Oreochromis niloticus: one gene and its partners. The protein of the gene in region 2 interacts with the protein of the main gene of each other region in a biochemical or structural test. Links are inferred from orthologs where the notes say so. Each region holds a gene or a part of one and is shown on either strand. Other genes may lie near its edges.

Region 1 (7,336 bases), on a different chromosome or scaffold from region 2:
GATTATGTCTGCAGCTTCCTAGCATCAACACGGCGTTACACTGATGTTGTAGGACTGGCCTTTAATGTCTTGAAGTGAGGTACGAACATACCCAAGACACAAATGTACCTTTCCAATTGCGAAACTTGGGAGAAAATTCATTATTAACAGATTTTTGATTCAGTGTGGCAGATAACTGTGCACAGGGAGAGATGTGAGGACAACTCTTTCTTGTCCTTTTTCCAATGTATCCTTGTGAATAACAAGGTAGTTTTTCCCACCTGAAACAGTTCGTTATGAACAAAAACAGTAACAATGTTTAAGTAGCTTTTTGTTGTTTGCTTTAACATTTGATGTCATATTAATCAGAATTTTAAAAAACTACCGGTGTAATATGATCAATTCTATGGTATTAGAAGGCAATTAATTTATCATTGGCCACTGCCACTGCTAGCTGACATTTTTTGTTTTACGCATTTCTAACATATATGAAGCCAATCTGGAAGCGGCTTCTATCTGACAGCTACCAGAAGGTGACAGTTGTGGCTGCAAAAAGAACCTCTGGTTCTACAGAGATCTATGGGGGGGGGGAAACGTTTGTTTTGACCACTAAACATTTTCGTGCAGAGTTTAGGGCTTAATCATTAACTCTGGTTTTTTGCAACCAAAAGGGTACCGGTTGAAACACACATCCAAACTAAATACAATCTTAAAGCGAACACAGGTAAAACTACAAAATGTAGCATAGCATATTACTGTTACAGTAATTGCAAAAACCTGGATTACAGGAAAAGCAGAATAAATAGCTACAACAAAGTCAAATATAACTTTACGTAAAATCGAAAAAAAAGCTTAAAAACAAAAAAAACAGGTTGTGCCTTTAAGGGCTGCTTCCTGTTCTGTAGGGAAACAACTGTCTCTGTAATGAATTACAAGTGCACCATGTGAGCACTGCAGAAGTGAAGAGGGGGAGGTGAAACAAGAAACAAGACATGATTCAAAAAATTAAAAGCAAATATGAAACTCTGGACTTTATATGAACTGATTTTTTTTTAAATATGTAAGATGTTGGAAAATATGATGAAAGACTACAACACTGAAAACTGAGAAATTGCCCAAGACATTTGGTGTCTGATCTTTAGTGCAGTGTAGTGATCATGTACATCTTTCCATCTTTCCACTAAAACCATAAAAGGTGGAGATTTCAGTTTTTAAGTAAACTCACTGGCAGGTAAAAAACTAAACCTGCTCAACTCTTTTCTGATCATTGACTTTAGGCCACACCCACATCCTAGGAGAGTGAAATGGAAAATTACTGGATTGTACCACTTTAAACCAAGAGGGGGAGGGGGCGGGTTCAGCTGCTCAATATGAGGAATGCAGCTTTCTCCTACTCACTTCTAGTCACTTTAGACAGCTAAGTTAAAAAGATTATACTGTAGCAGTGAATTCAGGGATACCATCTAGTAAGAGCTAAAAAACTTTTGTGTATTTTATAAAAAACACCAAATGTTCATTTAGCATCCACAGAAGATCAATAACGGACGCCACAAAGTTTTTTGTTATTTCAACATGCAGCATGCTGATCATATTCGCTGCTTCCTAGCACCAACATGACTACATTGACTTTGTAGAACTTTCCCTAAAAAGTCATAAAATGAGGTACGAACACATCAGAGACACAAGTGTGCATTTCCACATTCTGAACTGGGAAGCAAACTTAAAGTATTTGATTACTTGAGAGATGTAAGAACTCTTTCTTGAATCAGCAGATAGTAAAGTGACTGTTATTCATATAACTAAAGATAAAGACGACTTGTTTCATAACGTTCATCAGAAATCAAAGAATAGACACGTAAATTTTTTAAGGCTCAAAAGTTCTAAAATATATGCTGTATGCAATAAAAAAACTAAAAAAAAACTACCTGAATAACCAATGTAAGATTTATCAGCATTCATTTCAATTTACAGTTTAATGCTAGCATACATGGATGTTATGATTCCGGACTGGTTATGCGAACGACTTTTCTAACACGCACACAAAAAAAAACTAATCGAATATAACCCATTACCGAAAAAATAAAATAAAAAAATGTCTGTAAATAAAAGCTGCAAATAAAATGTTTTCACTCTGTAATATCGATAGAAAGAAAAAAACAGTTTCAATATACCATTATTCATTTAGCGAACATTGACACTGCTAGCTAACAGGGTTTTCATTATGCATGTCTGCTGTAATCCCGGTCTGTAGGGGTCACTGTTGCATTGTACGCAGCCAACTACCATTAACAGATTTTTTTTTTTCCTAATTCATATCAAATATTTCTATTCAGAACCACAAGTTCCATAAAGGATGGCATTCACTGCTATTAAATAAAAGTACAAATAAGCTGTTTGGGTAGCATGCTAACTGCAGTACCTCACTCACCGAATTTCTCTACGCTGTCCTCCGATGTTCCCGCGATTTTAAGCTTCGTTCCGTACGGTCTCCTCCTCACCCGCTGGTGTCCAAACCAACTCTTACGGACCCCCTGTGTGAAGCACCGGTGCTCTCGGGATGCGTTATCAGTGCTGCATCAAGTCCACGTTCTCAAGATGAACCGGGGAAACTAGTGAACTGTGCCACAACAACAACTGTTGTGTTCGCGGATTCAACCGAGTGCTCCGAGCACCCTCTGACTCGCGAACAGACTCCTCCTCCTTTCGCGCACGCACAAAAAAACTCCAACGGCTGACGTTGCGAGCGGGAGGGGGATTGGTCGTTAAACGACTAACGGTCGCGCAGTCCAGAGATGCAGTCTGAGTGGTTCACTCGGGGTTTTTTAAAGCATCCTGTTGTTCACCGTGCTGAAGTCGGTAGATAAAAGCAGGCAAGGTATGTATATGAATCGCTGTAGGATGTTTTAGGTCGGTTAGTACGGAGGATATGCAGGACTCAAAGAAAATGTGCTGCAGCTTGTAGTTACCCTGCAGCAGCAGGAGCAGGTTTGAGACAGACACAGAGCCAATGAGTGGTAGAGAACAGGCAGCTGAACATTGGCGTGGAGGGGGAGGGGTGTCCAGACAGAGCCCAGAGACATTAATGCTAAGGGGAAGGGGTTATAGGGAGGGGGAGGAGCCTTCTGCCAAACAACAGCCTGAAAATTTGTCTGTAACCTAACTACAGACAGTGGTGTGATTGTAGTTTTGTAAACCTACACTTACAGTTACACATGACCTGCTGCATCTGCAAGCATGGTGGTTATGCAGGGTGTTAGGCACCTTGAAGTGTTGCACTTTCTACACGGAAGTGCACACATGAGAAGAGTCCACCTGAAGGTCCCAGCGAGTAGTTATGTTATGTTATTTATTAGAAACAACAGCCTTTTTACAGTCATTTCCTTCTGAGATCACAAAGCATTAATTCAGGTCAGCCATTTTGTGCACTCACTTGTGCTTGAGGAACTTGCTGTTCCCTAAGAGGCCAGCAGGGGGTGAGTTATAGTGTTCTTATATTCTCATGTTTGTTGGTATTCCAGAAAAGGAATAGCTTAAACCTTTGCACCGCGTGTTGTCTGAGTCCCTTTGCAGCAGAATCCATGTGTTTGGGAGCAGGGGAGCTGGTATCTGTGCTCCCCAAGAGCCTGCTTGTCTCTCTCTTTCTCACACCCTTTTGCACACCAGACATGTCTGCAGTGCTGAAGAAAGCAGCCTTGAGCTTAGACAAGTCACCCCCTGTGGTCATATCAGCTAGGCTACACTGTAGCTTAGTCCTCATACACTGATATTGGGGCATAAATTGAACACACAGCAATGAAAAGCATTTAGATTTCCCTTCGCTTAGGCAGCACAAGCAGCCTGAAAATAGCCTGCATAGCTGAAGCTCTGAGTTTCGTGAATCACCGTTTAGAGTCCTCAATAAATCATAACACGCTGCTTTGATGGTAGAAGTATTTTTGCATAGTTACCCGTGCAAGTGAGGAATAAATCCTTTTAAAATTAGAGTACTTTTCAATATTTTTGTCAGGATTTTTTAAAGTTCCTAATGCTGGAAATCTCACTATAACGCCAGGTGAGCTTGTATGTTTCGGCAGAGTTATAAAGCTGTCTGTACACATGCCTCTTTATTTAAAAAAATAAATCTCAATAAGCGCATTTGTTTCTCTCTGTCTTTACACACTCATCTGTAGCCACAAATTTGCTTATTAAAACCCCACAGCAGGCTTGACTTCCTGCAGTAATAAAAAAACTACATTTGTATGCATTAGTTTGAAGTACGCACACTTTCACATAATTCTCCTTGTTGATAATTGTGAGTTCTTGAGTGGTGTTTTTTGTGTATACATGTATTTATAACAGGGTCCATTCTTCTCCAGCCTGAAAGCAGAATTTTTCCATGTTCCTATTTCCTCCAAATATACCTTTGCTAAGATTTGCAAGGTTGCAGTCTCAGCTGAGGACCTTAATTGAGCTTTCAGAAAGGCGTTGGCTTATCCAGAGGTCGTCTGTGCGTAGGTAAGGTCTCCCTTTACCGATGCTGATCCGGGTCCCTTGTCATCATATGGAGTTTTCAGTCGGGCTTTCTGCCCAGCACTTCTACAGTGTTCCTGTAAATTACCATTCTTAATGATATTATAATAGTCTTTTAAGTGTCAGTTAGCTTAACTCGAGATTTCCTAAGTAGGAGAGCAAAGTTTGAGTGGTCAGAAAATTTGTCGGTACAAGTCCATTCACCCACTCTCTTCAGGGACGCCAGGGAACGCTGGAGCCTATCCCAGCTATCATAGGGTGACAGGCGGGATGCATACTTGAACTGTATGAGACCTAATGAGTTAATTAATGCTGACCTCTGAGAGTTTCCTTGAATGTTTGGGTGTGTCAGTTAAATATATAATTAAATGACACATTTAGTTTCCCCGAAGGGCTTTATTCATCTTTTTACTTTGAAATTTAATAAACGTTTAATTTGCCTTGAGGTGTCCAAACTTCTGCATGTATTGTAGTGCTTGTTTATAGCAGAGGGAGATTTTGGGTAGGCATGAGGAACAGACACTTGTTTTCGGTATAATTTTATTGACTTTGTGAAGCTAAACTTAAACTAACAAGCTAAATAAACCTCCACAAAAACTATGTTGTCTGTTTCAAATAGAAACAATTCTGGAACGAACAAACAATTCTGGATGATCATTTTTAATATAGTTTAATACCAAAGCCCACATGAAATTTAGCTTTAACCACCATCCGCACACACTGTTTTTAACCTTAGCTGAACATGACAAGTCAGCTACAAAGCCAATGATAAAGGTACACCACAGAAACTGTAGCTCACAGTAAACCACATTCACGATCTGCCAGCCAATGTGTCTACATGGTGTGCCATGTCCTTTAGAGTCTCAGCGTAAACAAGAGAACGCCAGAAAATCATATTAAAAATTAACTAAAGCTCTTTATCAGCACAACAAAGGGTGCAAAGTTTCGAATCGAACTTTAGTCAGTCTTTAATTTGCCGTCTTCCCAATACAAAGTCCACGTAAGGTCAGTTTACGCTAATGCGTGTTGGTAATAGTCTGGTTGTCATGTGCTTCCTGCATTCAGTCAGCTCCCTTCCCTAACCATGCGGTATTTACAGTAGTGCATGTGGGAAGAGGACTGTTTCCTGCCATGTGCTTCATGTCAGAGAAGTGTAAATAGCATCCCAAACTGATTATTCCAGATGGATTTGTGAAAACAGTTTATGTAAAACACTGAATCTGTTACTGAAATGGACCTTTATAAGAGTGGAGAACATACCTCTACATTTGTGCAAAAATAAAATACAATAACACAAAGTTTCCAAACCACACCCACCGTTGAGCCGCCTTCTTTTGATCTCATAGGTAAAGTTTTTAAGTTATTTCAAGGTTGCGGTGCTGTTCTGTTGACAAAATCTGGTCACCGGTGCTGAGGCAGACATAAAAACACTGTTGGGATTGTAAATCAAAAAGTGACCTATTGTAAGTTACTTGTTTCTTTAAAATAAACACAGTTTTACTCCCATTAGTAACTAATTGTACGACCTGTTCCTCCTAAGCATTGCCTGAAAGCCATTGTCTTATAATTACTAGTTATCAATACAATATTAAAACTTACCCAGACCCACGTACCTGCACACATGCATAAAATCTTTACATGTAAACATGATTTACACCCACTTAATATTTTATCCACATTTTCACACAGAATTTCAACACGTTGAACAGTGTTAGTTCATAAGTTAACGTAGCAAAATATTTTGATCACTATATAAAAATAAGGTTTGAAACTGAAGCTAGAGACTAGTATTAGCAAAAATGTCCAGATGTTGTTGGTCTAGTGACATCTAGAGGAAGGGTTTACATTTTATATACATAAAATTGATTTTCATGCTTTCCAGCAGTAGAAGAAGAAAAAAAAAACATCTCCTTGCCTGTATTGTCGCTAAAATCGTAAAGTTTTCTATGAAGACCTTGAGGTAGCAATACAGGAAGCTGAGTCATGTGAAAAAGGGCGTCCCTCCTTGGATAACAAGCCTGCTCATTTACAGCCATGGTTCCAGATACTTTGTGTTTAAATGTTTAGCCTGAAGATGAAACAAGCTTTATTAATTGTTTAAAAATAATGAAAAAAATGTTCTTGGGTACATCAGTCTGTTTAGTAAATTTCATCCTAATTGCTGGTAGAAAAATAAAAACAACAGGACTGTGGCAAAAAACAATCACCATGATTTACTAATTAATATCTGCTAAGACTGGTTGTATAGATGTAACCCTGTGCATGTGTATAGACATAAACAAATATGAAACATTACAGTTTTACTGCTTTTAAGTCAGTAATGGGTCATCGCGGTCTCTGTGTCTTTTCTCATTGCTAGACCTGATTATCCTGTTCTTCCTGCTCTTGGGAATTATTTCTCCGTCATTGTCATCTTTTGTCTAGCATGCTTATGAGTTAGCATTTCTTAAACTAAAAAGTTCAGAAAACATATGGTACTATTGTAAACAATGCTAGGACCTTTCCAATAATGTTCCAGCGTAGTAGGTGGCATTTTCGCAGCTTATCGCTGCTTAATACCTGCCATAAAATGAAAGAACAACAAAAAGACAGACAGTAACTAGCTAGCAAATAGACACCAAACACAGAGGCTCTAAAACAGTCACAGTAAATCAAACAGGCTCATCATCACTCTTTCCTTAAACACACACACATTCACAAGTAATTTTGATTCAGTTGGCATTGTATCAGTGGCAGATGTTTGGCTCTGTCAGTCTTTTATCAGTTCATCTGGTTGCATTTTCACTATCTGTTAAGTGTAATTGTTTGTTTTCCCACAGCCATGGCTTAAATGTTCTCTCTGCAGCTC
Region 2 (7,480 bases):
ACTCTTTATCCAATAAATGGAGTATCCAGCTACTTAGGTATCTTCAAGTTCAGCTGATCACTTGATGTATGCTGAAGATAGTTAATAATAAACCACCATGGAGGATGATCCCTCCCACGTTCCAGAATCTGCTCTTACCATCAGAGAACACATCATCGTCCGCTATTGAGGCAGATGGGAGCGGGCACAGAGGCCCTTCAGGGTCTTCAAAAGTGACCCACTGACGGCTGCTGTTGATCCAGGCTCGCCGCCTCACTGTGGAGGACGAGCTCTCCATCGCCTCAGTTCACAGGACACCCGGGGGACATGGCTCTGTCAAAGCTGCCAAGGTGCAACGAAAGAGCCGGGGATGAAACACTGAAGCAGCAACATAGTTTTAGGCTTTAATGTTTACTTTAGGAGAATGAACACATTTTACTCTAAAGTCAGTTGTATTCAGGATTTTCAGTGAGTATCCCTTCTCATTAAAATTGAGCCATTTTTGCATAGGGATATTAACAGCCGCTTCCTTATCAGTAGTGTTTCTAAGACATCTGTGCATAGATTATACTTAATATTGCAGTAAAAATGAGGTGGCTACACGCAAATCAATCTAGCTATGACATTAAGTTCAGAGACTATACTGCTTAAAGCTCATCAAAGTCAGACAAACAGTTCAGATGAAATATTGTACCTCCAGGACAGCTGGAGACAAGATAACAGACACAATATAAAACATGTACAGATAAATATTCATAAAAATTTGGTATGTTATGGTTAAATGCTCATGAAGCGCATTTACCAGAGCAAACAACATATAAACATACGGATAATAGAAAATGATACAAGGTGGCTTCTAGTTGCCTTCAGTATGACTAACTGACAGTTCACTCTAAATCCCTTCAAAGTAAAAGCAGTCATTATTCATTAAAAGTCGTAATTTACTTTAATATGTAAGGGAAACCAAGTGTAGTCTAGATAAGACTAGTCTAGATTATCGATGAGGTGTAAACCATTAAATATATATGATTATACTAATTAAGAATAATTATTTACTTACTTTAAAATACAGCACACAGGAGCCGTTGGATGCTATGTTCTCGATAATAAGACGGAGTAAGATTTTCTCCATCCAGCTACAGCGAAGCGACTACATGCTGCCTTTAGAGCTCAATCAATGCTGATAACCGAAAAGCAGCCTTACCTTCATCGGCGCAGGTTTCAGTTCTGTATCAGAGGCGCTCTTTGTCTCGTTTCCTGTATGTGTCGGCTTAAATACGAGCAACTTCATCTGCAATCTTTACAAAACTCTCAAACTGCATCCAGCAGGCTCCCGTTTATTAACGACCGCTCGACGATTCTGGTGATTTCCTTTCGAAAGCAGTCAGTTATAGGTCGGGCTGAATATGCGCGGATCTTGGCGGTGAAGCGGTTTGAGAAGCCTTTGTAGGAAGTAACTTTGCATCTCGTCTGAAATACAAAAGTTTTATCAGCGTGGGATGCAGCTGCTGCACATCCTGCAGAAACAAAAACACACTCAGACAGGTCTGTGGAAATGTCAGAGGCAAAGGTGATAGTGCGACACGAGTGATTTGAATGCAAATCATATGATAGGCAAATAGTGCGTGTTTTTTGCACCTCTCCTGTGATATTTGAATTTTTAAAAACAAATAAACATTATTTTTGCGTCCAGTGGCCCACAATCATCTTCTTCAGTCGTTTTACTGTGAGGTGTGTAGTTGTTAACTGCAGCTGGGAAACTTTGCTTAAAAAGAGCAATGAGTCGCTGATAATCGTAAATATGTAATTAAAAAATGGAAAAAAAGAAAGAAAAAGGAGATTTTCTCGTATCTTAGTGTATCATGAAGACACCAAAGAAGTGTAGACTTGCTAATGCCGTGGGAGTACAGAGGCCATTTGTAGCCATCACTCCAACATCCCAGTGCAGTGTGCCACTTAATGCCAGTCTGACATTTTAGCATAATTTTTTGCACTGACTGATAAATGTGATGTATCCTTACAAATTTGACTAAAGTGACAATCTCTAACTATAGTGCCGATCCTCCTGACGGGTTTGATTCATCTACTCCTTAGGCCCAGGTCTTCTCCAGAGGCCTGGGAGTCTGAGGGTCCTGCACAGTATCTTAGGTACTCCTGGGACTGCACCCCACTGGACAGAGATGCTCATATATATATTAGAAGGAGCTAACATCAGAAATCCTACCAGCGGCTAGAAAAAGATGACTTACAGGATAGCACAGAGGCTCAGATCATGGCAGCACATGAACAGGTCCTAAGCACCATAAAGGACAGGACTCTACCACAGCTGACAGAACCCAAACTGCAGACTGTGCAAAGGCGCCCCAGAGACTATCCAACACATAGTAACAGGATGCAAGATACAAGCTTGGACTGCATACCCTGAGAGACATAACCAAGTGGCTGTGATAGTGTACTGGAACATCTGTGTTGCATATGGAAGAGAAGAAGAACAGCAAGGTCCTAAGTTTCCTGTGAGACTTCTGAGTTCCAGACCGACAAGCAGCTGCGGGTCAACCAATCAGACATAGTGATGGCTGTGGTAATCCCAGCAGACAGCAACATCAGGAAGGAGCACAAGGAGACAGAGAACTACCAGAAGCTGAAGGAACAACTGGAGCAGATGTGGAGGTAAAGTCCAAAGTAGTCATAGTGGTAAGAGGAGCTGTAAGAAGCTGTAACCCTGAAATTGGAAGAGTGGCTCCTGCAGATTCCTCGCACAACATCAGAGGTCTCTTGTCAGAAGAGTGCAGTCCTGGGATTTAGAGTATTCAGAAATCAGGACTCTCCGTGCAGTAAAGTACAAAAAATGGGAAAAAACTGTAATTTAATGAAGCCAGTAAAGATACAAATGACTTGAACTCAGTTCTGCCCAGTATTTATTTTATTTTATTATAACCTTAAAATGAATTGCCCACCTCTGATTTAGGCTATTTATTAATCAACATTTGTCACCTGATTAATAAGTAACATTTTTATTTTATTATTCTTACTTTTTAATAATCACCTATAGGTAAAAAGCTGTAAAAGTTATGTTTTAAATAAATGTTAACATTTTCCACTATGATGCATATCTAGTATTTCCCTTTAAATATTCACAAAAAATCACTTAATATAACTGTGTTAATTAAAAAAACACATTTACAAGTTTTTCAGATATTTTGCATGTAGGCTGTAGTTTTATTTATCTGTTGTAAGGACGTGGGTATACAGGACAGTACTGTATTTTATGAAATGCTGTAGTGATGTCACTTTCCGGGCTAATACTGGACAAAAAGCTGATGTTATGATTGTCTTCATAGTAAAGTATATGATGAAAAGCATCTACTGAGCGTGCTTTAACAGTGCCATATTACTGCATTTATTTCCAGACTACCTGAATGCTTGAATTAGTGCTGCTAGATCAGTTCAGAGTGTGGTGGTGTCATGCATGCATCAATGTGTGGCGGTATTCATGTATTCATGTCTGTGTCGAATTGAAGAAGTATCAGTGATGGAGTTCATACAGAGGTGGGTGGCTGCAGGCCTGGCCTGGGGATGGGCTCCACCCTCTCTCTCCTGTTTACACGGGCACATGTGCTGCCGTATTGACAGCCCCCTCACGAATCCTAATAATACAAGCCCTCCCACAGGCGAGCCATTTTCTCCTCCCCGCGCGGTTCATAGCCAGTGTGTGCGTGTGATGGGGGAATCTTCACCGCCACCCTGGCCAACTCCTCCCGCCTCCTTGCCGTTTCCCGACCCACCGGGCGCCACCAGGGAGTGGCCAGTGGCCACGGAGGCAAGACTTAAATACCCATGCGGCCTTCCTCCTTCCCCACCTCCGTTTTCAAACCAAGACACGAGCCTTAATGTCTCAGATGGACAATACAGGCTCAAATGTCTGACAGAATAAAGGCGATCGCCCATATTCCGAGAACTGTTTACTCATGGCGTCTTTTAAGCGGAAAAAGATAACCAAACGTCAATCATACTCAGGGATACAACCTACCGTGCTTGGTTCCGCCCAGTCTTTTGCCTCTAGTCCAATTACGTTGGCCGACTGATACTCGTTGGCAGAAACGCCCTTCTCCATTGGAGAAAAGAAGCGATTGCTCAAAAGAAGCTCTTAGAAGGGTGCGCTTCTTTTATTCATGGGAACAGTGCGATAGTGCAGTGAACAGGGGGTGAGTTTAATTTTTAATATAACAAAACGCCCATTGTTGAATATATGGATACCTATTTCGACTGGGAGATTTTTCCACTCGTATTCTTGTATTTTTGATATTAGATAAATACCTTCTACCGAAGAACATTGTACTAAGAACTAAAAGGAATAATAATTAGGTTCTAGAAGTTTGAATTAAACGTAACTGGAATTGGACTTGAGCTGTATAGGGGAGCTACTTTCATTTAATAACTTCCTTGTCATTACTTCCTCTGATAAGCCTGTTAAAAACCTATACCGCGTGTTCTCCCCGACGTGGGCAGGCTGCCGGGTTCCTAAATCTAACGCACCCACCGTTCTCCTTCAAAGAAGGGGGGGGGGGGGGCGTCAAGTTAGTGTGAAGTTGTGAAAAGTTGTCAAGCAGAAAAAAGAGCAGCGAAACTCCTCCCGTCTTCAAATTATGAGCAGTAAGTGAACTTTTTAAAACTCACTGGCATGTTGTGGACGAACCGATAACTGAACAGTAAGGAGTAGAGTGGCAGTACGTTGTTTTCAATGTGTTCCGTGTCGTAAATGTGGCGTGTGCCGATAACTAAATGCCGAGTTGTTGTTTTTTTTTTTTTAAAAGTGACCAACTAAGGTTACAAACCCGCTAATTTTTAATACACGGCTAACAACAATTAACCAACTGGTCACAAGTAACTTTACTTTTGGACTTAAATTAATAGGTAAGCAGACAGTATCACTTAACTCTGTGCAACTGATGTGAGCTCGCTGGCTAGTTGTACTTACAGCGGTGGCTGAAAACATTTCGTTCACTTCAGCTCATACTTTACACCACTTGTGAGTTCACGTTAGCTTAGCATGTAGCTGGCCCTGTGAGCACTTAGATTTTCTTGCACTTCTTGTCTGAATCGCCTCACAGCGGCTCCGAAAAACACCCTTTTTATTGTGTTCGTGGCCTGTGCTGTTCCGTGTGTTCCGTCCTTTTTATTACACCCAGTAGTAAGTTTCGATGTGTGATGTATTTTTTTCTTGTGAAGTGTTTTAAGGAGATGTACTCTTACAAAAACTCTTCTTCCGCAGATCAGCAGCAGGGTGAAATGGCCGCTGTGGAGAGCGGTGGAGGCTTCAGTCAAAAGCGAAACGCAAATTCACAAGTAGGTTACGGGACACATCCACTGGAGATACTGCCAGACTGAACTCATGTGCACTTCCCATCTGTTTGATCGCTTCTATGGCTCGTTTGTGTCGGGGTCTGTGAGGGTTGTTGATTTTCTCCCCAGAGCACATGTTACCGGGGTGGGGAATGGGCAGGTAAAAGTCGCCCACACGGGGTGTTCCCGTTAAACCCGGCACTTCGTGTGTATTTCGCTCGGCCCATTTGGCTGGCCTTGGAGGGGGTGGCTAGCGGAGTGAGTCAGTTTATAGGGCAAACTAAAAGTGTGGGAGGGAGATGGGTGGGTTTGGGGGGAGGGGAAGCCAAGCCCGCCGCAACTCCACAAAAATGTGGTCCCTCCCATACCCCCCTGCCCACACCCCCTCACCTATCTCTCTTTGATGCCCACTCCCCTGGAAAGAGCAAGAAAGTGGGTTTAATATTATTAATAAAGTTCTTGTTAGTAGAGTGTGTATTTCTGACATTCAGAAAAGAAATCCCTCTTCTTCTTTTTATATTAATCTACCACATCACTAGCATTTTTAAATCAGAAAATTAATTTGGAAAATAATATTTTTAAAGAGACATTTTAAACCATTTAAACTTGTATTGTAAATGCTTTGAATTATGTGCAAGGAAGGAAAAAAAATAAACTCTAAAAATTCACCCTGTAATTTGTCATTTTCAAAGTGGGACAATATTTACATTTTAATGTGTTACTGGGCTTTCCAAACCAGGCTACACTTCCTCTTGTTTAGGGGATGCCACAGGGAATTATCTACCACCATCTCAGCCCATCTTTAACATCGTCATCCTCTACCAACCCTCTGTATGTCCTCCTTCACTAAATCCATGAAATCTTCTCTGTGGTCTTCCTCTTTTCCTCCTGCCTGGCAGCTCAGTTTTCAACATCCTTTGTCCAATATATAAATTTTCCGTCCTCTGTGCTTGTCCGCCACCTCAGCCTCGTCTCTCTAACGTTCTCTCTCACTTCACATGGCTTTCCCCCAATATTATTTCTAAACCCATCCCTACTGGTCACGCCCAACGAAACTTGAAAGCTGTGTGCACACTGGAAGTGATTCGCAGTGACCGGATGACTAGAAACCACAGAAAGTGGATGATATTCCACGGGTTCAGGTGACTATGAGCGAAATAACCGCAAGCGATAGGAAGTGGGTGGGACCTGAGGTAACCAACGGACAAGACTACAAGTGAAAGTGAAGAATACGGCTGATTGGCACATGACCTGATGGTAAATACGTTAGAGAGTTACCTAGGCAACAGTAGCATGGAATGTCCACAAGCGACCAGCCGTCCACTTTAAAGCAGTGACAATCGATTGACTTCCAGGGTGTATGCAGCTCTGCCACGTCCAGTTCCATCTTCTGCCTTTGAGTTAGTGGCACCATCTTCACTCTTGCTGCCATCCTTCTGTCACAAACCACCCCAGACACTCACCTCCACCTGCTCCACCCTGCCTGCACTCTCTTCTTCACCTAAACTTTATTATATAGGTGAATTCTTTCAATCACATGCAAGTATCCAGCTTTACTTGAACATCCTGATATTTTGACAGCTGTTACTTTTTTGTAACTCTACATTGCATTTCATATATTTCTACTTTCTAAAAGCTCCTTCATTTATTCTTTTTCCAGGACTCACAGCAGCCATCACCACTCGCCTTGTTGGCAGCCACATGCAGTCGCATTGACACCCCGGGAGAGAACGATTCCCCTGCCGACCAGCACCAACAGAATCAGCAGCAGCAACTGGACCTAAACCAGGCTGTTTTTACCTCCAGTGCCAATAGCTGGCAGGTAAACCCTCTCAGTGTTCAAGCATCCTCAGGCTCCAACACAGTCACCACAGATTCCTCAGGAGTGATGTCAGGAGGAGACCTCATCAAGAACAGACAGGTGCTGTCGCCCGCTGCAAGCTCTCAGAGTCAGCAGCAGCAACAACAGCCCTTTGTAGTTGCTCAGGCGCCGTCAATGCAGGGTCAGCAGGTCCTTACCACTATATCAGGTGTGATGCCCAACATCCAGTACCAGGTCATTCCACAGTTTCAGACAGTGGATGGCCAGACGCTGCATTTTACACATGCTCAGCAGGAGTCTGCTGTGCCTGCCACAGCAGGACCAGGCCAACAGTTT
Region 3 (7,342 bases), on a different chromosome or scaffold from region 2:
AAAAAATACAAAACTTCTGTATGTAGAATTTAGGTCTTGTATTTACAGCCATACTGCTACTGAAACAAGAGCTTACAAGAACTGAATTTGCTTACTGTACCTTTCTGGTCAAGATGTTGGTAAAATTAATTTGCATTTACATGTTCAACTTGGCAAGTACTGATGTTTCATCTTACATCCATAAAGTGACCACAGCGTACAAATTATGGTCTGTGGCAGCAGCAGCAGCAGCAGCAGCATGACAGGAAAAAAAATTGCAAGGGCAACAGTACCTGCTGACATTATTCAGCACAACAGTAAGAAAAATATCAGACTATGATGAACAGTGGCAGCCAGTAATGGATGTGGATCCATGCAGACCTCAGAAAGATGTTCTGTTGTATATTCTGCATATTTTTCTCCACAGCCATCGGCACTTGAGAACAAGAACGTCTGACTTTCTAAACTTGCTTTTAATAGCAAGAGACAAGCACAACTCAGTTTAGACAGCCATGAGAACAAAAGCAATAACTGGAGGCTGACACACAAAACACTGTGCTGAGGAACGTGCAGTTGCAAGACATGCTTGGGAGGGAAATGATGAACCAAACAGCACAGATGGGTCCTGGAAAAATAAAAATACAAACAGCCCTGGCTATGGCATGCAAACCGGTAGGCTGTGAAACAGTCATGACACTGACACAGGGCGGCGGTGACACCACTACCTGGAGTGTCTGCACCTGCTGGCCTGAGGCCGTCACCACTGGCGCCTCTGTTTGCAGCTGCACAGCCGTCACTGTGCCTTGTGTCTGCAGGCAGGGCAGGATACAGACTCATACATACAGACTCAACAACAAAGTACCAAGAAAATAAATTGGAACTGGATTACTGCATCTCAAATAATCTTTTTTTTTTTTAAAAAAAACAAAAAAAACTATGTATAGTCAACCATTTCTGATTTGCATAAAAATTATATGGTCTGAAGCTTGGACATATATATAATGCCTGCTTTGAAGTGTTAGCTTCATATATGAAATATTTCTAGATTTGTTTATTTTAAAAGGCCAGTAAACCCAGTTTTCTGCCTTTTAGGCAGAAAAAATCTGCACACTGAAAACTCAAGCAAAGTTTGAACATAATTACCTTAAAAACTTGACCTGAAAAGTTAAAAAGTTTGCATATTTTAAAACAATTATTTTCTTGGTTATAGGTAGAGTAATTACAAAAGATCTGTTCTATTTAGATTATTAATATTTTTGTGGTATAAATGTGTGTCATGTTTTCTCAATCCAGCATGAAACTTGAATGAAAATAGCATCTTCTTCATGTTTGTGACCGAGGATTTCATGTTAAAAATTATTATACATGTTATTTTTCATTATTGTGAAGTACAGCTATATATCGTTAAGAAATTGTCACTAGTTGTCTTTTACAATGTGAATTTTTTTTTATTAATCTTTACTCAAATATTAGACTTTGCAGGACTGCTTTTAATTTTTCTCATATCTGATCTAGCCAATTTCTCTCTCCCAATTTACAGATGCTGGTTCAGTTTAATGAATCGAGAGTTTAGTAAAGAATTTCACTTTTATCTTTAATAGTGTTAAAGATATCCATGTTCAAACATTGCCTCGGATTTCAAAGCGTGAAAAAAAAAAAAAAAAAAACATGCTGAAAGTGGGTTGATGGGACATTTTTCAAAAAAATTTATATCTTAATAAATAGTTGATATCACTCTCAATAATACTTAGATCACAGGTATCACGACTTATATTTATACACACAGGTAATCCCTGGACCATAAACTTTTAGGGCAAATTGGGAGGACTGATCAGAAATGACACCATGATTTGAGATCCAATGATCCAACTGGAATCCCTAAAACTTTATTTTATTTTGACCCTCTGGTATTCATAATCTTACTACATATTAGTTCATATCTGGTGGTAGGGTAATTTTAAAAAAAATAATTAATTAATTAAAAAAGGAATAAAATTGTCGACCCTAAGCTCACCTGCTGCTGGATCTGTCCATTAGCTGTCTGAACAACAATCTGCTCTCCAGTAGTAGTGGTGGCAGTGGTGTACTGCTCCATGGCTTTTTACCGTGAAAAACCTGATGAGGCAAAGACAAAACATACAAATGAGCCAATATTGGATTTCTATGGTTTACAGTGCATTTTATATGTAAACAAATGATCTTTTTTTTTTTTACGACGACAAAAAAACCCCCGTCTTTTTAACCGATATCTACGTGTTTTCAATTCATTGGTCTCAATATTTAAAGAGGACCTTATAGTGCTTCCTCACACCGACTTGTGTCGCATTGTGTCAAATGTGAAGTCTACGAATTTCAGCTGAAACATGATCCCCCCAGGAGGACACAGCTGTGTCAGCTGCTGGACTCCTTCAAAGGGGAATTTTATTTAGCGGGTATTTTACTGGGGAAGCTAACACGGCTAGCGCCAGTCCGCTAGCTAAAAGCGTGGTAAATTCTAGAAAGCGCATAAGGATACTATTTGTGTCGTCAACTCCGAACGTGGATATTTTCTTGTGGGCAGCTTGTTTATTACAGCTCATTATAATGTACCTGGCAGTGTTTGCTGACGGTCGAACGGTGGCTTTATTCCCACTCTCTTTGTTCGAGAAACGATATTTTAGCGAAGAAGCTAACGCTAGCTAAGGCTTGTGGACCAAGCGGGGATCATGTTTCCTCGCGGTGGCCAACGCTAGAAACATGAAGCTATTTGTAGGTCTTGGGACGCAGCGGTCGAAATCAAACTGCAATTTGAGTTTTTTGCATTAAGCAGGGTTAGTAATTTGGTTGGTCCATGACAAACCAATCCGTGCTGACAACTACCAATGCCTTCAATCGGGGCTTCCTTACCGTATCTTCGCTGTCCGGTTTCCCTCTGATTGGCTCCAGTACAGCTTGCTAAAGCCCAATCAACAAAGTGAGCGGACAAAATGGCGCAAATGAAACAACGGCGACTGGGAGAGAGGTGCGCAGCTGCGTGACACTTGAACAGGGGGGCGAGGCAGCGTTGCAGTGTCCCCTCGGCAGATGTCGCCATTTAGTTTGAGTTTTCTTATTTTAGCGGACTTCTCCTGACTTGTATTATTTATGTTAACTGCTATTCGATTATGTTATCAGTGGAAATTATTCTCGCATCAGTACCGTTAAACCTGCAACGCGTGCAATTTAAGTAGTGTTATGGTCGAGGTAACCACCTTTGTTCAGCACAGGGACACGTAATAATGTTACCTCCGTAGCGCTAGTTGGCAGTAGAGCGCCGATTTTATGCTATGAGCCCAGTGTTTGCGGAAGTACTTCTACGAGTGGTACCATGAGTGCGTGAGCAGCAAGGTTATGTTTAATTTATAGTAAAATAAGTTTTTGTTATCATGACACCTAAGTGACTCCCTAAAAAACAAGAAAAGAAAAACGAAAGAGAAAAAAGGACGACACATCGTTTATTGGCATGGCCAGGTCTGTGCAGATACTCTCCCTCCTCTCCAAGTTTGGTGCTTCATCTCTGATTCCCTCAGTGAGTGCTAGCAACTGCCGATTTGCAAGCAGAGGGGCCAGCAAGGCACGGATGGGACAGGGCCCTGCGCAGGCAGACAAAGGATCAAGCAGACCAGGATACAGCGATGAGACATCTAATGGAGAACTCGAGCTGGAGGACGTGGAGGACAAACTGCAAGCTTTAATTCAGTAAGATTCAGTAGGACTTTTCACACATTTCTCCAGTGTAAAACGATGTTAAATAATAAATATATGGTGTCTTTATGACAAGATATATTAAATATTCTGGGGATTTGTTTCAGGGAAGAGAGAAAAAGACAGAAGACTGTGAAGTATCACATATTAAGGAGGCAGATGACACCATCAGGAGCTCCAGAGAGGAGGTTAACCTGGGATGCCATTGAGCAGATCAGGTGAGGATGAGGGTTAAGTTTGTCCAGATGGTAAACTAAGAAGTGTTTTAAATTAAGCCTAATATGAAATCTCAATTTTCAGATATCTGAAGCAAAATCAGCCAGACGAGTGGACAGTAGAGCGTCTGGCTGAAGGCTTCTCTGTCAGCCATGATGTGATCCTGAGAGTCCTGAGAAGCAAATTCATCTCCTCTCCTGAAAGAAAAGCCAAGCAGAATGCAAAAGTAATGGCTAAAATGAGCCAGCAGGTGCTGCCTTCAGGTGCTAAGACACAGCAGGACAGGTTGAAACTGCCCGAAAGGAACTCACAAGCCATACTCCCACCTGGGAGCACAGAAGGTGCTTTGATCCCTGTGGCTAATCAGACTCAGGTGATTCAAGGTCATGGCTCACGTTCCCTAGCTAAGAGTCCTGTCCCTGTTACTGTTCAGCCCACACACATTGCAGCTGGTATTAGTGAAGATGCCACAGTGACAGAAACAACAGAGCGCAGCACTAATGAGAGTGAGCTTACAGAGGAGGATGAAGAGAGTTGGGATGGACAGGTGTTGACAGAGGAAGAACTTGAAGAGCTTATGAAAATGGAAAAGCCCTCTCCAGCAGTCCAAGTTGGGAATGATTTCTTTGATGCAGATGGAAACTTTTTGTATAGAATCTGAGAATATTTTGTGTTGTTAGCTCAGCATGTGCAATGTTGGGGTCATGCAAATTACCAAATAAAAGTTATTTTGAATCTTTGTGCAAAAGATATTTGCACTTATATATTTTTTCGTCCAGATATTTCACGCCCATTTCACCCATGTATTGACTTCCCAGTTTATCCCTGTGTCAATTTTTATATAAGTCATAGACAAATGCATTCACAGGCCACTTTATTAGGTGCACCTTGCTAGTACTGGGTTGGATCCCTTTCTGCCTTCAGAGCTGCTTTAAGTATTAGTGGCACAGATTCAACAAGGTGCTGGAAATATTCCTCAAAGATTTTGGCCCATATTGACATGATAGGAATTGTATGACATCATAAAGTCATACAATTGATGAAAATGTGATACATCCATGATGAAAACTTCCTGTTCCACAACATCCCAAAGGTACTCTATTGGTTTGACATATGGTGACTGTGGAGGCCATTTGAGTGCAGTGAACTCTGTCACGTTCAAGGAACGAGCCTGAGATGATTTGAGCTTTGGTATCCTACTGGTGGGTTTAACTTGTGCATACGTGGATGGATGCAGTCAGCAACAATACTCAGGTTAGATGTAATCTGACACTCTAGGGGCCCAAAGTCTGACAAGAAAGTATCTCCCACACCCTTACACCACAACCAGCAGCCCAAACTTGTGCCTTCAGAGATGCTCTTCTGCATACCTTTGTTGTAATGAGTGGTTATTGGAGTTATTGTTGCCTTCCTATCAGCTCCAAGCAGTCTGGCCATCAACAAGGCATTTTCACATAAAGAACAGAGATCACAGGATATTTTCTCTTTTTTGGACCATTCTCTGTAAATCCTAAATATGGTTGTTTTGGAAAATCCCAGTAGATCACCAGTTTCTGAAATACTCAGACCAGCCCATCTGGTACCAACATCCATTCAAAATTCAGAGTCAATTCAATTGCCCCCAAAGAAGCACTCAGATGCCAGAGGAATGATTACTGCAGTTGTTACACAACTACAATTTTGAACTTATCCTTTTAAAATCTTAAAACTGGGACGCTTTGTAAAATGTAAACAAAAACGGTATGCAGTGATCTGCAAATCTCAAAGCCACATTTCATCCACAGTCAAAGACACAAAACATCACATTTAAACTGAACCACCATGTACCATAACAAGAAAAATATTTTGAATTTGATGGTAACAAGACGTGTCCAAAAAGTTTGGAGAGTGCCATTATGTAACATCCCCTCTTTTTCTAACAAATGTGTTTTCTTTGTTCTACTGTGAATAAAATCTGGGTTCATGTGATTCTGTTTGTTTGGAACTAGGTTTTTATAAATCATGTGAAAATATCCCCAGTTGACAGTTACCCATTATTATTGTTAGTCTCACATTTCTGCATTACTGCCGTTTGTGACAAACCACCACGTAGCAAAAATAGAGGAACATATGAATTTATTGGCAAACCCAAAGAAAATTGTCTCAAATATACAGAAAAGAGAAACATATCAGATAAAAAGGTGTAACCTTGTATATGTACAGAACCATCACAATGACTTCTTCATTTATACAGCAGTTTTAAATTTTAAGAAAAAGTGTGTTACCTTCACCTATAGCAATAAATGGTCGTAATAAGAACTCGCCAGGTCTCTTCCAGTGTAAAGCAGCTACATGATAACCCTGTGTCCACTCTGCTTTTATTCAAGATCACTCTCTTGTCAAAGTAGCCAGTATTAAATCTCATACCAACATAGAAAAAAAAGAAAAAAAAAGAATAACCAAGTTATTACAGGTCATTTTCTTTTCACAGCTGTAGATATAAGTATTATTGAGAGTTAACATGCAGTTCGGTGGGAGCTCATATAAAACAGACATTTACTGCTCAAAAATTATTCTTAGGCAACAAGTGCAACTTAGAGATGTCACTGACATACAGGATGAAACTGATTACATATCAGATGATATAAATTAAAAAAATAAAAAATAAAAAAAATCAGTAAATAGATGCTGGCCACACATTAGGTCCTCACACCAGGCACTTGTATAACCACATCCAATTTACTGCACTCTGAACCAGCTTTTCACCAATAAATTAAACTTTAAAACAAGACAGACAAATAATTGTGCAACAAATGTTTAACAAAACAACAACATGAGACGGAGTCGTTAAGACTGATTAAAAACAAAACAGTAGTTCACTACAGCTTCAAATTCAGAGATCCACCCACCAAACAAAACAGTCTTGGCATGGCTTTGGCTCTTATCCAGCCATGGTTACAGCAGGAGTTATGCTATTTTCATATTGCTATATTTCCAGATATTGATTAACTTGGTTATATGTTTGTGTGGTTTAAAAAATTATGTAATTCTGTAATTTTTACTCTAAAACTATATTTTTGAACTGCAATCTGTCAATTGTTATATAATTTGCAAAAATTGATTAGTACCAAAACTGCTGAAATTGTTACAAACATGACAATTATACGACTACAGTGATCATTTGTCTCATCACAATAGATCAGGTTTAAGAAAAATGTTATACTACAAACTCTTAGCATTACAGGAGGCCTTGTGCTTTAGGCAATTAGAACTGCAGACAACATTTTAAACAATTTCTGTCCTGAAACAGACATACTTTACTACCCTTGCAGTTAATGCACAATGTGTTATGCACAACGACATCGATTCATCCAACAAACCTAAAAATATCATGTTACTACAGGTTTTTTTTGATGTGCACGGAGAATTTTATTGCTATAAAATG
Region 4 (7,274 bases), on a different chromosome or scaffold from region 2:
GACTGCTTAGGATCTCCAGACACACCCACCAAGCACTCAAATTTATTCTGCCACAGTTGTTGCTCCCGTTCCCAGATTTCTTTCATTTGCTGTTTTAGGCGTCTTTGAACACTTACAGCCACTGGATGTTGTTCTTTGACTTCTTGGAGATGAGCTGGATCCCCTCCAGGACATTGGTTATGTCGTAGATGCGTCTCTTCTGAACATCCAGCACCTGAGACGCCCAGTTTAGATCCACCACGCCGTCGGCCGACTGGGACAACAGGTCCAGAAAGCGCTTGGTGGTCAGGTTCAAAGAGGTGTCATACCGAGACTTCTCTGCCGTGGTCCGAGGAACTGGGCAGAAAGAGAATACATACAAGAATTAAAAGAAATGCACATATTACTGGTCTAGAGCGTAAGCTGAGGCAGCGGTTTGGGGTGGGCAAAAGGTTCAAATGAAGATTATCAGTCACTTTAAAAAATGGGACTCTTCCTCAGGGTCACAGAGGAGCTGGAGCTTATCCCAGCTGTCTTAGGGCGAGAGGCAGGGTACGCCCTGGACAGGTTGCCAGTCTGTCGGAAGGCTAACAATAGAGACAGACAACAATTTGCACTCAGTCACACCAATGGGCAATTGAGAGTTACAATTAACCTAACCCACTAACTACATTGTCTTTGGACAGTGGGAGGAAGCCAGAGTACCCATAGAGAACCCACGCAAACTCCACAGAGAAAGACCCTGGCCTGGACCTATTTGCTGTGAGGCAACAGTGCTAACCACCGTGCTTTTGATATTTAAAGGAAAAAATTCCCCTCTTTGCTATCCAGCTGTGGATTTCGTCAATGACTGATACTGAAAAGCTGCTTTGCATCCATCTCCTTCCAAACAGATCCCAGTGGAAATCCACATGGACTGCATTTCTAAACGGTTCAGAAGTCTATCTTGCATGAGGGATAGACTCGTATTTCCACATTATACCAATTAATATAATGTGTGTGTCACGTGTAGCTTTTCCATTTCAAGTCCATCATTTGATCCTTTTGGTGCATGCAGAGTGCCCAGATACTCCAAATGAAAGGGATCAAATGAATTGATAAATCGCAGCGCCTCTTCCTTTGCTCCATTCTCAAAAAAACCCCAGTCTCTCTATTATTTGAATAGACAAATATTTGTAAGTATCTCTCAATACAGCCAGTCTGGAGGAGACAGGATGACAGGCCGTGCTGATAAAAGAACAGCTGCTTTTATGACAATGGCTGAGGGCAAAGGTGAGCAAGGATGTGTGGGCGAGGATTTTTTTAGAGTGGGGTGTGGGCTGTTAGCTGTACCTCTGGGAGGAGCAGGAGTGGAAAGCGGTGCCTGGCCTGTGGAAGGTCGAGTGGTGCTGACATACTGATGGTCACTGTCCAGGTCCAACTTCCTTTTTACCTGAAGGAACACACATGTCTGGAGTAAGAAACAGACATAAGACAGTAACAGACTAACTGCTGACACAGTCACGCACTGTTTACGAGCAGAGAAATGTGAAACTGATACCAGCAACAGGTGGGTAACTTACAGCAGCTCTGCTACGTGCAGTATGTAAACGAACAACTTCTCAGTTTAACCACTTCCCTTATTGCTCTTTCACTTTCTCTCTCTCTCTCCCCTTTCCTCCCACACCTCCCTTCCTCACCGGTGGCCTTCCCAGAGGTGGTCTCCTCTTGTCCTGGATCCCTACGTCAGCTGGGCCCTGTGGCGTGGCGAACAGCAGGATCTCCCCCGTGCTGGTCGGGGCAGGGGCCGAGTGGAGTCCTTCATTGCTGGGGCTGGTGATAATCACTATCTGGTGGTCCTCGTCCAAGTTGATACTCCCAGAGTTCAGCAAAGTCTCAAAGTCTGCTAACAGATCCTCCGATGTCTGCCCTGTTATCAGAGTCTCTGACATTGCAGTGTGTCACCAGGAGCCCCTCTTCACTGGACTTGGGTGGCGGTGGTGGTGGTGATTATAAACTAAGATGCTGTTATGACAGTATCAGCACCGACTCACATCTGCCATTTTTTTGTGAATGAAGGCAACAACGGTGAATTCTCGTGAAAACTGTCTCGAATGAGTTCATAAGCAGGTGGAACATTTCATAAACTGTTTTATTTTGTTAAACATTTTCATTACACCACAGCAATGTAAAGCCACGTCCTAAAACTCAGGCTGAGGCTGAAACAGCAAGCCAGGGTGTGCTGCCAAACAGGAAATTTGGCACATGAAATATTGCTAAATGCATACTATAAAAGCTCCGCCGCGAATAAGTCCGAAACTGGCCGTGGGAGAAATCCACTCTGGCAAGCTAGCAAAGGGAGCAAGCTAATCTTTTGTTTTCATCTCTCCTGTCAGTACAGTAGAGCCGAGGCCTGGCCACACTGCCCCTGAACAGCTACCACCCCGGCTAACGAGCTAGCTTCCAACCAAACGACAAAGACTCGAACAGGGTCACAAAACAAACCCGAGCAGCCGCCAAACTCGCAGGTCACGCCGCTAGAACAATATTACTCCTCCTTGTATTAAACACCGAGCGAAGTTAAGAGGCTATTAAAACTTTACAGCAGCTTACAGAAGTGAGCGATCAGAACAAAATATCCACGCCGCAAAAAAGCATCACGGGAACTTAAAATCATCTTTGAGACTATATCCATAAAAGCGAGCATCAGTCCAGCGGATAGTACATAGATGTGGTCGAATATGAATATATAGGGCAGATTAGCATGTTAGCTAACTTATTAGCGGCAGTTGTTCAATCCCCTTGTTTTGTTGGGGCACGCAGGAAGCAGTCCGACAAAACTGGAAATATAAGCACATAAAGCGGCGAAAAACAAGCGCACGGTTTAACATAACAATCGGTGGACCTCGCTTGCTCACCCCGGCCGCAATCCACCCGTTAAACCGCCGTCATTACCCCGTTATCGTCCTTTATTGTTGTTATTGTCTCAGCTGATCTACATCTAAACAAGCCCCTGACGGTTTTCGCGCGAAATCTTTTTTGCCGCGAAACCGACACGTGCGCCAAACAGTCGGTTGGGATTGGTCCGAGCTGAGCGCTTTTCGCAGGGCGGGGCCGAGGAGCTCTGATTGGAAGAAGCGGATGTCTGTCACATTACCGAACGCAGATAAATCGATGAGAAGCGCGTTCGCGGAACTTGGAAAATAAACCATTTTATTTTAGTTGAAGCAAATACATTTCAGTTTATCAGGGTGATGTCAACCAAGTTGTTTGTAATTAATATAAATTTATATTTTTGTTGTTGTCGAAGTAAAAAACAAAACAAAATATTAACCGCAGTTCTTCTAGCCGGTCTCGTGTTCGAGAACAGTTTCTCACAAATAATAATGATAATACTAATACTAATAATAATAATAATAATAAGTATTATTATTATTATTAGTAGTAGTAGTAGTAGTAGTAGTAGTATTAGTATTATTAGTATTATTATTATTGTAAAACATGTCTGGGTGAAAGCGATTTTCCTTAGTTGAGCAGAGTTACCTCAAGAGGCAGCCATAGGTAATCGAGCGCCTACCACGCAGTAGGAGTGCTACAAGATGGCGCAGGCAATATTTGAGGTGCTGGAAGGTATGAGTATTTCTTCATTGGCAGCGTAATTACAATTACCCAAAACGTTTACTCCTACTTTAGACATTTCACTGATGTAGGCCCATTTGGAAACGCAGAAAAAATAACGTAAATCCACGTACGAGCCTCTGGTTTTTGTTTCAATAAGGAAAACAGCATATAGGAAGGACTCAGTATGAATGTAAACAAACAAAGTGATTAAACACTTTTTCGACCTAACGGGCAGCTTATTATAAATCGTAGTCATCGTATTGCTGTCAGATGGTAAATGTATTTACATTTCACGGTAATTTTCTTTCCAGGTCCTCTTAATGACAAGACTTTGTAATATTACTGGACTAACAGCCTCTTTGTTGTAAATGAATTATTACTGTTATTGTTATTGTAGTGAGTACAGTATTAGGAGATTACTGTGCGCAGTGGAGATATCCTTATGGAAAGCTGTTAGTCTTCAACACTACTATTGTTTCTGATCACAGTTGATTCTTCTTTTAATAAGATAAAACTACTAATTCATATTTAGACACTTCAGTGCATCACTGAGTGTTCAGAATAAAATGGATCTTTGCAGCAGGTGAATTCTTCTTCTTACTCTTCAGGCATGGACAATCAGACGGTGCTGGCAGTCCAGTCACTGCTGGACAGCCAAGGAGGTGTTCCTGACCCAAACAACCAAAACGTCTCTGGGACGCCAACAATCCAGTCTATGGGTATGTAATGGCATGCACAGCTGTGGGACAGGTTGTGTTATTGTCCTGTTATTCTTTTATGTCAAGAGACATGTCATCCATCCATCCATTTTCTGCCGCCTATCCGGGTCTGGGTTGTGTGGGCAGAAGGAGAGATGCCCGCCCATCTCTTCTAGCTAATCCAGGAGGACACTAAGACATTCCCAAGCCAGCTGAGAGATTGCTCCCCATTCTTTCCTGGATTTTGTTCAGTGCATTCTAAAGGGATGACATGTCAGAAAAATCCCTCAGGTAGCAGGTATTTTTGAACTGAAAATACGGACCAGTTTACTCTGCCTGGGAGAGGGCTACCAAGGCCCAACCCTGGAGTCAGACATGTGGCTTGAGGCAGAGGTCAGACCTTAACTACGGGCCCTGTCCAGGCATAGTCAGACTGAGCAACAATGAGCCCACCACAAATAGAAGGTACCACAGGGGTTCGGTGCCTTGTGGATTGGGTGGCGGTCAGTGACCCTGGTGGTTGGATTCAGTTTAATTTGATTAAATCATCCCAGAGACCAAGGTTCTTAAAGTCTTGTCTTCAGATCAGTTTATTAAGTAAATGTCAGTTAAAACAATGTAAGTAGTATATAAGCACATGTTTTCATCCTGATGTTATTGCAGCTCATATTTGTGTCACATAACAAAAACCTTACACAAAAAGAAGAATCTAGAGGCAAGAATTTGATACGTTATTACAGTTGTGTTATTAGTTAGTTAGCTATTAGCTGGTTCATCAAACCAAAATTAAGTCCTCGTGACACACTCGACTGCTAGTTTCATTTATCTGGTGGTGCACACTTTTTGCTGTGAAATGCAGTCATCGTGTGCAGACTTCGAAAAATACTTTTCCTTTAAAATAGCTACCAAAGCCAAACGCATCACTGCAAAAACATTAAAGGACGAATATCACCACCCATTAAATGTCCAAAAGTGCATTAACATCCTCAAAATTGACTCATGTGTGTCTTTTTTTTTTCCCCTCTGCTGTTTCTTGCTGCCTAAAACCTTTATACAGACGATGAAGACGTATTCCTGTGTGGGAAGTGTAAAAAACAGTTCAACTCTTTGCCTGCTTTCATGACGCACAAGAGGGAGCAGTGCCAGTCTAGCACCCCTTCTCTGTCCACAGTGTCCTTGGCCTCCACCAATGCCTACACGCCTGTCCCGTCTATTAGTTCAGTACCGCAGACTCCTGCCAACAGACAGGTGAGGAAAGCAAAAGGGTAATTTATCTGTGGGGGTGATAAATAACTTGCTTGGTTTAATAAGTTAGTTGTGCAGAGCGTAAAGCGGTAATAAAACTGATAAGAAACGTAAAGAGAAGTGGGAAAGAGGTAATGGTCGGAGGTAAAGGTGACCTGATAGTAAAAGTATTTTATAAATACGTTATATAAGAGGCCAGGACTGTAAAGGAAAAAAAGATTTTCTTATAATGATTCAAAAAGTAGCTGATGTGACTGTGTTTGACTTGGCACTCACACAGGTGTCCACCTACATCACAGTCCCTCCCTCCCCTTTGACGCACACTCTGGTCCAAGGGAACGTGCTCGTCAGCGATGACGTCCTCATGTCCGCCATCTCAGCCTTTACCTCCATCGACCAGCCCATGGCCCCCATGCAGACTCCCATACAGGTACTGTTTGCCTCCTTCTCTCCTTCACGCCCCAGTGTTTTAATTTATTACATCAAATCTGTCCGCTTCCTTTATGACAGAGTAACCTGAGCATGCACACAGCCGGTGTGTCCTACTTACAGCACCATCACCACCACCACCTCCATCACCTTCATCAACAGCAGCAGCAGCCCCCGCAGCAGCAACAACAACAACAACAGCAGCAGCAGCAGCCACCCTCCCATCCCCTGCCACCTGCACAGCCCACCCAGCAGACACTCACTTCCCAGGTCCCGGCGAGCCACAGCAACTCAGTGGTGCAGGTGTACAGCACTCTGCCCCACATGGTCGGAGGTGGTGGAGGTGGTGGGGGTGGCGGGGGTGGAGCTGAGATCCACACACTGGGTCTGCAGCCTTTCCATCCTGTGCAAGTGAGTGAAGCTTGCCGTTTGGTTGCCGTCACAGTGCTAAATATGATACGCGCCCTTTTGTTTCCAGTTTCTGTGAGCGTACGTGTCTTCCTCAGGTGCCCAGTCAGGGTGTGGAGAGTCATTCGTTCACAACCCCTCCCGTGTACAGCCCCGGGAAGCAGGGCACCAAAACCAAGACCTGCAGCATCACCACCAGCATGACGGAGCTGGGTGACTTTGAAAAGGTTATCGTTCCCAAGCGACCGAGGAACTGTAAAAAAAGCTCAGATGGAGTCGCAGGTAAAAAGATTCAGTTTGTAGGCTACAGTTTTTACCTAATGGAACTGTAGAGGACAACGTGATGGATGTTTATTTAAACTGTATTAATTGTCTGAATTGGACTCTTCAGCAGAGCAGCTCAAGGGAAAAGGTCCAAAGCTCAAGTGTAACTTCTGTGACAAAGTCTTCTCGAAAAACTTTGATCTCCAGCAGCACATTAGGAGGTGAGTTGCTTGCCAGGATGTAGACTCGACCAACTTTAAAGCTGAAATAAAGGATTCATTAAAACAATTTCCCTTTTGCAGCCACACGGGAGAGAAACCGTTTCAGTGCATCGTCTGTGGCCGAGCCTTCGCGCAGAAGTCCAATGTGAAGAAACACATGCAGACACACAAGGTGTTGTGATATAGAGGTATCTGCATGATGTACTTAGATGTTAATCAACACACTAACAACAGCTGTCTTTATCTTACAGGTGTGGCCTATGAGTGTGGCCAGCACTGTGTCTAGACTACCAATCACAGTAAAGGTGGTGCCAGTGCCCCCCAGTGAGGAAGAAGAGGGCGGGGAACAGCAGCAGGAAAGTGAGCGGGATGAGGACGGGGTGCAGGAAACACAAGCAGAGGAGCCGACACAAGCAGGTACCGTCTGTTA

Evidence for each region.
Region 1: the proteins of sp1 (region 2) and atf7ip form a complex in vitro, tested with the Homo sapiens proteins (3 studies listed by BioGRID). The link is inferred for Oreochromis niloticus from reciprocal best matches to the Homo sapiens genes SP1 and ATF7IP.
Region 3: the proteins of sp1 (region 2) and nfyal form a complex in vitro, tested with the Homo sapiens proteins (2 studies listed by BioGRID). The link is inferred for Oreochromis niloticus from reciprocal best matches to the Homo sapiens genes SP1 and NFYA.
Region 4: the proteins of sp1 (region 2) and e2f1 form a complex in vitro, tested with the Homo sapiens proteins (4 studies listed by BioGRID and IntAct). The link is inferred for Oreochromis niloticus from reciprocal best matches to the Homo sapiens genes SP1 and E2F1.

The regions. Positions count from the first base shown.
Region 1 is NC_031971.2:24,258,243-24,265,578, forward strand, and holds the start of atf7ip (activating transcription factor 7-interacting protein 1), read right to left. Parts: upstream 3,003-7,336; 5' UTR 2,408-3,002; exon of another isoform or gene 2,399-2,407; intron 1-2,398. UniProt on the Homo sapiens protein: Recruiter that couples transcriptional factors to general transcription apparatus and thereby modulates transcription regulation and chromatin formation. Can both act as an activator or a repressor depending on the context.
Region 2 is NC_031970.2:5,752,690-5,760,169, reverse strand, and holds the start of sp1 (transcription factor Sp1), read left to right. Parts: upstream 1-4,473; 5' UTR 4,474-4,625; coding exon 4,626-4,632; exon of another isoform or gene 4,633-4,706; intron 4,707-4,712; exon of another isoform or gene 4,713-4,893; intron 4,894-5,251; coding exon 5,252-5,325; intron 5,326-6,061; exon of another isoform or gene 6,062-6,153; intron 6,154-6,982; coding exon 6,983-7,480. Other genes in the region: tespa1 (sperm-specific antigen 2), read right to left, coding at 139-277. UniProt on the Homo sapiens protein: Transcription factor that can activate or repress transcription in response to physiological and pathological stimuli.
Region 3 is NC_031984.2:21,203,420-21,210,761, forward strand, and holds the start of nfyal (nuclear transcription factor Y, alpha, like), read right to left. Parts: upstream 3,014-7,342; 5' UTR 2,866-3,013; intron 2,860-2,865; exon of another isoform or gene 2,569-2,859; intron 2,095-2,568; 5' UTR 2,075-2,094; coding exon 1,994-2,074; intron 789-1,993; coding exon 702-788; intron 1-701. Other genes in the region: ngrn (neugrin), read left to right, coding at 3,461-3,696, 3,810-3,920, 4,003-4,579. UniProt on the Homo sapiens protein: Component of the sequence-specific heterotrimeric transcription factor (NF-Y) which specifically recognizes a 5'-CCAAT-3' box motif found in the promoters of its target genes.
Region 4 is NC_031984.2:28,972,146-28,979,419, forward strand, and holds the start of e2f1 (transcription factor E2F1), read right to left. Parts: upstream 3,005-7,274; 5' UTR 1,911-3,004; coding exon 1,659-1,910; intron 1,412-1,658; coding exon 1,312-1,411; intron 337-1,311; coding exon 117-336; intron 1-116. Other genes in the region: znf341 (zinc finger protein 341), read left to right, coding at 3,558-3,588, 4,188-4,298, 5,335-5,525, 5,803-5,952, 6,033-6,362, 6,458-6,641, 6,751-6,844, 6,926-7,016 and 1 more. UniProt on the Homo sapiens protein: Transcription activator that binds DNA cooperatively with DP proteins through the E2 recognition site, 5'-TTTC[CG]CGC-3' found in the promoter region of a number of genes whose products are involved in cell cycle regulation or in DNA replication.